3 linked regions of the Cricetulus griseus genome follow. The protein of the gene in region 1 purifies or fractionates together with the protein of each later gene. This does not show direct contact. Links are inferred from orthologs where the notes say so. Each region holds a gene or a part of one and is shown in the gene's direction. Other genes may lie near its edges. The genes, in order: Snx4, Snx30 and Snx7.

Region 1 (3,647 bases):
CGAATAATTGGAAATAAGGAGGTCTTGATAATGTTTCACATTTTTCTGCCGTTGGGCATGGTGGCACACTCCTTTAATCTTTGAACTCAGGAGGCTGAAGCAGGTGGATCCCTGTAGTTCCAGGGCAGGCTGGTCTATACACCAAGTCCAGGCCAGTTAGAACTGCATAGTAAGAAAATCAGAAACCAAAAATCAAAACCTTTGTTCATGATAGCAGCAGGAATCTTGAGTCTTCACATGTTCTTTCCCTAGCTTCCTCCCAGCTGCAGTTTAGATAAAATGTGAGAGCCTGATAGCTCTGAAAAGGAAAAAATGAGACATGAGTTGTAAGCTGTCTTCCTTGCCCTTCAGAGATGACTGAGTTTGCTCTTGTGGATCTCCTGGTACTCAGATCCATCTGATTGACCCATACCCTCAACTCAGGCTTTCTGGTATCTTGGTCTTTGTCATGAAATTGTTCCCTCATTGTGGCACTATTAAAGTTACCTTTTATGTAATGAATATTGTAAAACCAGTTCAATGCTGAGGCTTTTAGAATGTTTCTTCTTCCTTCCTTCCTTCCTTCCTTCCTTCCTTCCTTCCTTCCTTCCTTCCTTCCTTCCTTCCTTCCTTCCTTCCTACATTTATTTATTTGTAGTGTTCTGTCTGCATGTATACCTGCAGGCCAGAAGAGGGCACCAGATCTCACTATAGATGGTTGTGAGCCACTGTGTGGTTGCTGGAAATTGAACTCAGAACTTCTGGAAGAGGAGCCAATGCTCTTAACCACTGAGCCATCTCTCCAGCTAGAATGTTTCTAATATAGTGACTTCTTATGAGTTCAGATGGGTTTTCTATAACAGAAGGAAAGTACCCAGGTGAGAGCTTTGGACTCCGATGGATCTGAGTGCACAACACACAGTGTGTATTTTGTAGGTAGAGCACAGCTATATCCCCATCTGTAAAAACGGGCACAGGGAATCTGCTTCCCAGGGTTATACGGTTTTGAAGGAGGTGGTTTTATGTGTTCTGTTTTGAATAGAAATGCTCTTTGATTCCTTTTCAGGTCAGTTGAACATGCTGACGGTCAGAGTGTCCTCACAGACTCACTTTGGAGGCGGTACAGTGAGTTCGAGTTGTTGAGAAACTACCTTTTAGTTTACTACCCCCATGTTGTTGTACCACCTCTTCCAGAAAAGCGGGTAAGATAGAGCAGTAGGAATTGAGAACTACCTGGAATTGAGCCCATTAATTTATTTGTTTTCCTTTTTCTTTTTGCTTTTCGAGACAGGTTTTCTCTGTGTAGTAGCCCTGACTATCCTGGAACTTGTTGTGTAGCCCAGGCTGGCCTCAAACTTAGAGAAACACCTGCCTCTGCCTCCCACATGTGTGTCTATATATGTATGTGTGTATATATATATATTTTTTTCTTTCTCCTAAATATATAGATGCAACTTGCTGGATCTGTATAATGTTACTTGTATGTATATGATTTCAGGGTTGACCACTTGGTAGCTCTTCCGTGGGAAGAACAATGTCTCCCACTTTCAGCATTCATTAGCTGCCCATAAGATGTCCCCCTTCTAGCCGAGCAGTGGTGGCGCTCTCCTTTAATCCCAGCACTCTGGAGGTAGAGGCAGGTGGATCTCTGTGGGTTTGAAGCCAGCATGATCTATACAGTGAGTTCCAGGACAGCAGCCAAGACTACAGAGAAACCCTGTCTCAAAAAAGAAAGAAAGAAAGAAAGAAAGAAAGAAAGAAAGAAAGAAAGGAAAAACAACAATTTAAAAAAATAAAAGAATAAATGTTTTTTGAAAACAACAAAAAGCTGTCCTCATTCCATGCTAGCATGTGTATTAGTGATGTCCTTGTGCAGGTCTCGTTTAGGCAGCCATATTTATAGGTGTAGTTTCCCTGTCATTTTCAGGAGGTGTAATCTCACAGCAGACTTCCTGGTCCTCTGGCTGTCACAGTCTTTCCACCGCTCCACAAGATATTCCCTGAGCCTTAGGTGCAAGAGATGTGTGTAGATTCATCAGTCAGGGCTGGGCACTACAGGATCACTTGCTCTCTGCTTTTTGATCAATTGTGGTTAACCTCTTGTAAAGAGAAGTTTCTTTTCTTTTCTTTTTTGTTGTTTTGTTTTGTTTTGTTTTCTGAGACAGGGTTTCTCTGTGGTTTTGGAGGCTGTGCTGGAACTCGCTCTAGGCTAGCCTCAAACTCACAGAGATCTCCCTGCCTCTGCCTCCCGAGTGCTGGGATTAAAGGCGTGAGCCACCAATGCCCCAGCAAGAAGTTTCTTTTATGAGTGTGTGCTGCATAGTTTAATATCAACTCGACATAAGCCAGAGTCATCTGAGAGGAGGGAGTCTCAGTTGGGAAAATTGAGTTCTACTCACACAAGCCTGTTGGACATTTTCTTAATTATCGATTGATACGGGATTGAGATGGAAGGACCCAACCCATTGTGGGTGGTGTTGTCCCTGGGCTGCTGGTCCTGGGTTTCTTTAAGAAAGCAGGTTGAGGCCAGGCTTTGGTGGCTCATGCCTTTAATCCCAGCACTTGGAAGGCAGAGGCCGGTGAATCTCTTGAGTTCAAGGTCAGCCTGGTCTACAGAGCAAGTGCCAGGATAGGCTCCAAAGCTACACAGAGAAATCCTGCCTCGAAAAACCAAAAACATCCAGGACAAGCTCCAAAGCTACACAGAGAAACCCTGTGTTAAAAACCAAAACCTAACAAACAAACAAAAAAAAGCAGGCTGAGCCAGGCAGCCATGGTGGTGCAAGCCTTTAATCCCAGCACTGGGGCGGGGGAGGGGGGGGGCGCACAGGGGGGGGAGGGGGACAGAGGCAGGCAAATCTCTGTGAGTTCAAGGCCAGCCTGGTCTACCAATCGAGTTCCAGGACAGCAATACAGAGAAACCCTGTCTCGAAAAAAAAAGAAAGCTTAGCAAGCTAGTAAGCAGCACCCCTCCATGGCCTCTGTATCAACTTTTGCCCCCAGGTTCCTGCCATGTTTGAGGTCCCTGTTCCGACTTCCTTTGATGGGGAGCAGTGATTTGGGGGTGTAAGCCAAACAGACCCTTCCATCCCAGTTACTGTGACCACCCATGGCGTTTTGTCACAGCGGTGGTAATCCAGGCTAAGACAGAGGGTAAGAGCTATACTTACCTGTGATTGAGCCTGTTCCTAATGGTTGCTTTGTTTACCCAGGCAGAGTTCGTGTGGCATAAACTCTCTGCTGACAACATGGATCCAGACTTTGTGGAGAGACGACGGATAGGCTTAGAAAACTTTCTCTTGAGGGTTGCCTCACATCCTGTCCTTTGTAGAGACAAAATCTTCTATTTGTTTTTAACACAGGTATTTTTCTTTTAATTCGTCTTTAAAAAAAATATTCATTTGAATTCGGCTTTTAAAAAATTATGAAATGCTGATTCTTGAGACTCATTTGAATTAGCTTTTGGTAGGCAGTTTATTGTGCTTGGCTAGTTTGAATTTGGGACTACTGGAATCTGTCATTAGCTGAGTTTTTTTTTTTTTTTTTTTTTTTTAATTTGTGTGTGATGAGAGGAGACACACCTGTCGTGTTGCACTTGTGGAGGTCAGAGGATAGTAGTGTAGAGTCCATCTCTCCTTTACTGTTATATGGGTTCTGGGAATTGATCC
Region 2 (3,647 bases), on another chromosome or scaffold:
AGTGTTTTGTCAGTTTGTCCTTCCCTGCCCAATAGATCAGGATTCCGCTACTCCTCTGCTCCTCTCCTCCACCCTCTCCCCTCCCCACCCTCTCCCCTCCCCACCCTCTCCCCTCCCCACCCTCTCCCCTCCCCACCCTCTCCCCTCCCCTCCCTCCCCTCCCCTCCCTTCCCCTCCCTCCTTGCCTCCCTCTCTCTGCCAGTGGATCAGGATGTAGATCTCAGCTACTTCTCTAGCACCTTGTATGTTCCCTGCTACGATAACAATGGACTGAACCTCAGAAATTGTAAGCAAGCTCCAAATAAATGCCTTCTTTTATAAGAGTTGCCTTGGTCATAGTGTCTCTTCACAGCAATGGAACAGTGACCATGATAGGACCTCACTTTGTAGCCCATGCTAGCTTCAATTCCCCAGTGCTAGAATGAATCATGGGCATGTGCCACCAGCCCAGCTCTAAGAGCTGTTTGTTTGGTTGGTTGGTTTGGAGAACAGGCTCTTACTGTATAGACTAAGCTGGCCTTGAACTCACAGAGATCCACCTGCCTCTGCCGCTTGAGTAATGGAACCAAAGGTATCCGCCACTATGCTGCACACTGTAACTTTTTAAATTTGGATACACGAGGTTTAAAGGCTCAACCCATTTTCCACTTTTGCCTTGACCCACAGGAAATTCAGAGTTTAAAATATGTTTACAGTGATAGTAGTTCACCTGAATTTTCTAGCAGTGATTCTGTTGTTTCTTTTCAAAACTCTACCCTCCACCCTCTGCTTTCCTTGTATGACTCTAGTTGAGGTTGAGTGAGTGAATGGAATGAATCTTTAGATATTTAATTTTGTGCTAAGACAGCACAGGGCATTTTTGCCAGAGGTTTTAAAATTGTGTTAGAAAAACTGTTGCATTTAAAGACAGGGAGTAGAATTGACTGGAGGGTGGAGGGCCCAGTCCTGTTGACAGGGAATCTGGACAGGGGCATATGGATGTGAGTCTGGGGGTCTGTTGTGGATGCTGTTCTTCAAGTAGAGCAGCCATCAACTTGTCACAGCAGCCTCAGGAGTGGGGCCTGGTGACTATTGAGGTTCCATCAAAGAAGGATAGGCTTGTGTGTGGTAGGGGTGTAAATGGAGTTGTTAATAGGTCTAAATAATAAAAACCCTGAGTCAGATGCAGAGGAAAATGCCGAGAGATCAGAGAGAAGAAGGAGCAAGCCAAAGCCACCTTTACCTCAGTAGCTTCCCAGTGGAAATGAGTGAGTTCCTGTTTCTTCCCGCTTATAGCCTCTCTCTGCGCAGCCATCTCACTTCCTCTCTCTGCCCAGCCATCTCACTTCCTGTCTGTCTGTTCAGACCTTCAGACCTCTATGGTTAGCTAAGCTCCATCCTCTGATCTTCAGACAGGCTTTATTTGTATAAGTAAGATACCACCACGGGGGTGTGGGGGAGACTTCATTGGACCCTCACTCGATCCCAGCCACTCCCTCTTTTCACTTAACAGCCAGCTGTATATGATTCTTCCTGATTGCACGTGGCCCATGGTCTTGGGAGATGCTAGTGTGTATAGACTCTAGAAGTTTAGTTGTGGGAGGGTATCCATATTTGCAGCCATGGGGATGTTGTCATCTATGCTGGGGTGAGATTTTCTTGTGGTGTGGCTCCTTGCTCCTGTAAGTAACCCCTAACCTGTACTCTGTAAGTAAACTCAGTAAAGTTATGGCGCCTCAATTTGGACTTTGGACTTGTACTTTGGTTTGCCTTATAAGGGTAGATAGAGGTTTGTTTGGTCTTCCTACAGAAAGAGTTCCCACCATAATGGGACTGTGATGTGTATGTGGTCCTAATAGCTCCTGCTTTCCAGTTTGTCCATTTCCAATGAGACACAGGCTTCAGAAACTGGTTTCCTTAGCCCTGGCTATGTGACCAGAATGGTGCCTTGTCATCTACAGGACCTGAATGCCTACAAGAAGCAGGGGATAGCACTGCTGACCAGAGTGGGTGAGTCGGTCAAGCATGTCACGGGAGGCTATAAGCTGAGGAGTCGGCCTCTGGAGTTTGCAGCCATTGGTGACTACTTAGACACTTTTGCACTCAAGCTGGGAACCATTGATCGGATAGCCCAGCGGATCATCAAAGAAGAAATAGGTGAGTTCTTTGTTGAGACTGACAGTGCCCAGCGTGGCAGCAATGGCGGTCATATATGCCAGACTGAAGCAACCTGCAGAAATGTCACAGTGACATCACCAGGCCTAGTTCTGCCTAAAAACCAAACACAGAGCGGGATGAGCTGGTTGTGACTAGAATGTAATTTTGCACTCAGTCCTTTGTCCGCACTGAGCATGGTGATTTCCTCATGGCCTCCATCCACAGGGCTGCTGATTACAGAAATAAACTTAGCAGAGAGATGGTTCAAAAGAGAAGTGTGGGGGCCGTGTTTGCCAAGGTTACATCCCAGTGAGCTTTTGCCCTTTACCCTGCCTGCTTCACTTTATTCCCTCTTCTGAGCTGGGGAGTTGCTCAGACCCAGGTCTGTCTGTCCTTATCACAGCCACTGCCTGTCTACCCTTCTCCTGCCATGGTCACCTGATTAGCCACATCCCAGTAACAGTGGGCACTTTGTCCCCTTACACAGGTATAGGTCAAACACACCCGAACAATGTGATTATCATGCCAAGGCATCTGTCACACAGGACTTTTAAAACATGTCAGTTACTGCCATTTCCTAATAGTTAAATAAGGGCAACCATATTCTGTCAAAAATGGCAAGAATCCTGGTGACAAATGAAGGGCCTTATTAACCCTGTAGGAGTGAAGAAATAATTATTTTCTTATTCCCTGCAACCACTGATAGGACCATTGGGTGTGGGACTGAGTCTGTCTATATAAGACCACATCTCTTTCAGTGAGGTGTTCCCTGTAATCCTGTCATTTTTCCATTGTGATTGATTTTTTTTTTTAAAGATCACCCTGCCGAGTACTAGAGACATGACTCAGGTTAAGACCAGAGGGACTGGATTCAGTGCCTAGCATCACACCATCTATAACTCACAACCATCTATAACTCCAGTTCCAGGGGTGCAAGGCCCTCTGAACCCATATGAAAGTCATATTCCCCCCCCATTGTGTTGTAAAAGGTTGCACTTGCAGCATGGGTAGGGGTGATTATTCACCCAAAGAAGTTCTCTGGGTTTGGCTCTTAGCTATTTTCCCCTAAAGGAGTTTTGATTCCTATTAACAAGAATCCTAGATATTCGGATGTGACTTACAGTAGCTTTTGGGGGGGGGGAGGGTATGCCCAGGAAAGAGAATAGCCAGGGCTGTAGATTCCTAAATCAATCATAGAGTGAGAGCTCCCCAGTCAGATTCCAAGTGGCTTCTCTTTTTATAGAGTACCTCGTAGAGCTGAGGGAATATGGGCCTGTGTATTCCACATGGAGCGCCTTGGAAGGCGAGCTAGCAGAGCCACTGGAAGGTGTGTCAGCCTGCATTGGGAACTGCTCCACAGCCTTGGAAGAACTGACAGATGATATAACAGAGGAGTTTCTACCAGTGCTCAGGGAATACATTCTGTACTCTGACTCCATGAAGGTAAGCTGGCTTGCTTTTTGCACACTCATCAAAAAGCTCTTAATTGTCGAATGTGGTACTTGTCCCTT
Region 3 (4,229 bases), on another chromosome or scaffold:
AACTGTCTCATGATGAGAAATTAAAATATTTAAATTGGGAATTCCTTTTATCTATGTTTCCCCTCCCAGTTTTTCTTGTTGCATTTTTCAACCTGTTTTTCCCTGTGTTAAAATCAGCTGGCCTCCTGCTGAACACAGATGTCAACAGGAGGCTTCAGCACTCTATGGGCCCCCTAGTAGTGGATCAGTATTTTTCCCTGGTGTAAGAAGGGACTTTGAGAGCCCGTCCCACATGACGGGATGCCCTCTCTCCCGGAAACATGGGGGAGGGCTCGGGTCAGGCCCAGGATGATGTGGTGGACTTTGGGATGCCCCCATGGAGGGCCCTACCCTCCCTGGGGAGCGAAGGGGGCATGGGATGGGGAGTTGATGGGGGGTTGGGGTGAGGGAAGGGAGAGGGAGACGGGATTGACTTGTGAAGCAAGCTTGTTCCTAATTTGAACTAGTAAAAATTAAATATAAATAAAAAAAATCAGCTGGCCTCAAACCAGAGGTCTTTCCTCTTGCCTCAGCCTACCCTGTGCTAAAATCCCAGGCATTACACGACCAGACCTGGCTCTTACATGAATCTTCATTTACTTGAAAATTTTAGAGAAAGGAGAAAAAAGCTGAGGTTGAGATGAATAAATAATAAAAATTGAAGCTAGTTCTAACATATATCAGTTTGCATTCAATTTTTAATTAATTTTTGGATCTATAAAAATAAGCAATGAAAAGCAATGAACAAACAGCTAGTTTCAGCTTTGCACTAGCAGTATGAAAAAAACATGCAGGATTTGTTTCTTTCTCTTTGCAATACCTAGGCCTGCTGGCTGTCCTTGGCGCTTGGAAACATTCTTGCACATTAACTTCAGGAAGACTTCTAGGAGAAAGCTACATTAGAAAGTAGCTGAAAATAATTTTTCAGTCTCAGCTTCCTTGGTTTGACAGTAAAATGACCACAAGTCCAATCACTGAGTCAAAAAAAAAAAAAAATCAATCAAAACCCAGGAGGTTGTAGTGTCTTTAATTTTGGCATTGATCTTTATAAAGACAGACTCGGATGGGGAAAAACAAACAAACAAACAAACAAACCAGGAATAAAAGCACTTTTAAACACTGGAAATAAAGCTGGGTCAGCTGGTCGTGCTTCCAGATCCTGCCACCTCACTCACAAATCTGGTGTCTCTTAACCGTGTCAGAGAGAGAATGCCACCTCCTGTCCTCAGAGTCTCCTCTGCCCACTCTGGCGAGGGTTCCTAGCTTCCAGATCTCAATCTTGGCAGAAACCTGGGGCCAGGTCGGGGATGAGCAATCCCCTCTGCCTGCCCGCCCTGGCTCTGAGCCGCGGTCTCCCGCAGTTCCGCGTCTGCGCACGGCCGAGGGGCAGGAGCTGGGCCGGCCGGGGAGGTGCAGGGCGCCGCGGGAGCCAATGGGCGCGCAGGGGGGAGCCGGGCTGGCTGCGGCGGCCGGCGGGGCTCGCACTGCCGGGATGGACGGCGAGCGCCTGGCGTCGGGTTCCTCGGAGCTGGCGGTCGGTGAGAGCCCGCGGGGCGGCGCCCCGATCCCGGGTGGCAGTGGTTCCTGCAGCCTCATGCAGGCCGACGTGCTGGATCTGGACGAGGACGAGGACGATTTGGAAGTGTTCAGTAAGGTGAGGGCAGGGAACATAGCCGCGGCCGTGGCAGGGGCGGCGCGTCCAGGGAAAGTTCCAGGGTGACTCAACTCCCCGACGGATCCGGAGCTGGAGACGGTGCACACATCCAGAACCAGCCGCTCCCTCCTCCGCACTTTGACCTTCTCAGAGGCAGAACCAAGGCTTATGGAGTCTTAAAAGTTCTGATATTTTTACCCCCTTACTCTTTCCATTTTCCCTTCCTTGATAGGGACATCCCATCATGCATGGGCGGGTGGCCTGAAACTGCTCCTCCTCCAGGCTTCTCTCCTGAAGTCTAGGAGAGTGATTGCTTTACTGCAGGGGAGTGATTTGGGTTTACTGTTGTTAAGTGTGAATGGGAGAGTTGGGTCCCACCCTAGGAGGATCTGGAATCCTGTGACCATTGGGTGCAGAAATCTTTTCAGCAGGAGAAAGCCTGGTCTGCACTCCTGGCAGAGCTGAAGAGGCGTGTTTTTTTGTTTTTTTGTTTGTTTGTTTGTTTTTGTTTTTTTCTTGTTGTTATTTTGGGGGGGGCAGTAAACTGAGGTCCAAACCCTAACTGTAGCCTACGTATTTCCTTCCCATTTGCTTGGATATCTAGCCTCAGAGGCGCTCCCTGGCTAGAGTTATAATTGGAGAGAAATGGACTTTTGGGCATTAGTGGTTGACTTGGGTGCCTGTGGCCTGAAACTTGAACTTTCTGAAAGTTTGAAACAGAAATACCTTTCTTGTGGCACAATCCAGTGTAACAGTAGTTTCTCAAAGGTGCCACTAATGGAAGCCTTGAACTCAGTGGGAACATTGTTTCAATGACCAAGGCAGTGTGCAATAATACCCAGAGATGTTAAAACGGCCCACCTCTTAACTGTCAAACAGAAGTTAGCAAATAACCAGCACACTTGGACTCGCAGCACGGAACTCACAAACTTCATTTGAACTCGTTAGAGCCTAGGCGGTTCACCCAGTTGCATTCTCGGTTGACTTTGTATCACAGTTCCGTGTGCTTAGCCTTCCTATTTATTTAAATTCTAAAATTCGAATTGTTTGATGCTTAGTTTCAATACTGCTTTAAAAACGTGTGTGTGTGTGTGTGTGTGTGTGTGTGTGTGTGTGTGTGTGTGTGTGTGTGTGTGTGTGTGATGTGCTTGCGCCCTGGTGTACAGGTGGCAGTCAAACCACTGCCTGCATTCTGCCCTCTCCTTATTCCATGTGGGCTCTGGGGGATTGAAAACAGGTCACGAGGCCCTGCAGCAAGTAACTCTCTGTACTGAGCCATCCAATGGCCCAATACTGCACTCCCACCCTCATTACACACATACTTTGTTCAGGTCAGTGTGGAACTTCCAGAATAGAGGGAGTGGTGTCAAGATTGGCGGTTGTATATCAAAATCATCTGGAATTGCTGAAAACTTTCCAGGTAGCCTTTTCCCCTAGATTCTGCCCCATAAGCCTCCCTTGAGAATCCCTGTCTCAGTGAGTCACTGTGGTCTGATACGGAGTTCATTTGCTTGGGTCTATGGGAATGTTGGGGATTGATGGAATTACAGGTGTTCTAGGTGAGAAGAAAATGACAGGTTGCAGCCAGAAGCCCTGTGAATGGGCATCCCTTCCCAATTTCCTAAAGCACTATCAGAGTAAGGGATTCCATTCATCTGCTGGGATTTCTTTTTAAATGTTATTACTGGGAGTCCTACCCTACTCACAATGTTGTCCTTGTGGCTCTGTATTCTTTTAAAAAGCATGGGTTAGCTGGAATTGTGTGTTTCATGCCTGTTCACCCACACCTATACTACTTGCTGCTATATCACTTCATGAATTTGCTGCCTAGAGAAAGTTAAGAATTATGCCCTTAGAAGTTGAAAAGTAAGTGGGTAATATGGTTAAAGTCTAAAGAAAGTACCATCCTGAAAAAACATTTAGTTCCATGCTCATTCCAACTTTCAACCATTAACCACAATTAGACAAGAAAAATCATGAAAGTCTCCTCTGGCCTCATTCTTTCCAACATTCCTCTTCAGCCTCTCTTTGGAGCTCTACTACTGTCCCGCCTACTCCAGAATGGGGTCTGTCCAGGACTTGTGAGGCCAACTTTCAGTGCCCTTTACTTTTATAAGATGGCTAACATTTCTCCTTAGATTGTGAATGTATAGCTGATGTCCCTTTCTGAATCAACAAAAGAATAACTTTGACTGACTAAAACATTTTCTTCCAGAAAAACATGTTTTTCCTCCTCTTAGGAAAAACATGCAATATCTCTTTCTTCCTATCATAGTCTTGAAGCTTAGATGGCAAGATAGGACAAACACTAAGTGGCAACATACACCAGCAGGAATGGAAAGAAAAACAAAGTGGGGACCATTGAGTTTTGAAAATTTTACCAAGGAATAATTGATGCCAACTTTGAAAAAAAAAACATTGAAAACACAGCAGGTATTGATTTTAAAAAGTAACTACAGGTGTTGGAAAAGAGATCAGAGAACACAACCAACAACACAATGAGACAAAGTAAGAAGAAAAATACACAAATGACAGCAATCCTGTAAAAATTGTCTTAGCACTTGGCCACAAGGAGATGAAAGAGTAATGTTAGCAA

What was found.
Region 2: the proteins of Snx4 (region 1) and Snx30 purify together in Homo sapiens (co-immunoprecipitation; 4 studies listed by BioGRID and IntAct, counting the BioPlex papers as one, with this or other methods). This does not show direct contact. The link is inferred for Cricetulus griseus from reciprocal best matches to the Homo sapiens genes SNX4 and SNX30.
Region 3: the proteins of Snx4 (region 1) and Snx7 purify together in Homo sapiens (affinity purification with mass spectrometry; 3 studies listed by BioGRID and IntAct, counting the BioPlex papers as one, with this or other methods). This does not show direct contact. The link is inferred for Cricetulus griseus from reciprocal best matches to the Homo sapiens genes SNX4 and SNX7.

What each region holds. Positions count from the first base shown.
Region 1 is NC_048597.1:56,292,363-56,296,009, reverse strand, and holds part of Snx4 (sorting nexin-4), read left to right. Parts: intron 1-1,045; coding exon 1,046-1,181; intron 1,182-3,191; coding exon 3,192-3,341; intron 3,342-3,647. UniProt on the Homo sapiens protein: Involved in the regulation of endocytosis and in several stages of intracellular trafficking. Plays a role in recycling endocytosed transferrin receptor and prevent its degradation.
Region 2 is NC_048595.1:83,864,149-83,867,795, reverse strand, and holds part of Snx30 (sorting nexin-30), read left to right. Parts: intron 1-1,940; coding exon 1,941-2,136; intron 2,137-3,379; coding exon 3,380-3,579; intron 3,580-3,647. UniProt on the Homo sapiens protein: Involved in the regulation of endocytosis and in several stages of intracellular trafficking. Together with SNX4, involved in autophagosome assembly.
Region 3 is NW_023276806.1:40,435,266-40,439,494, forward strand, and holds the start of Snx7 (sorting nexin-7), read left to right. Parts: upstream 1-1,428; 5' UTR 1,429-1,471; coding exon 1,472-1,633; intron 1,634-4,229. UniProt on the Homo sapiens protein: Involved in the regulation of endocytosis and in several stages of intracellular trafficking. Together with SNX4, involved in autophagosome assembly by regulating trafficking and recycling of phospholipid scramblase ATG9A.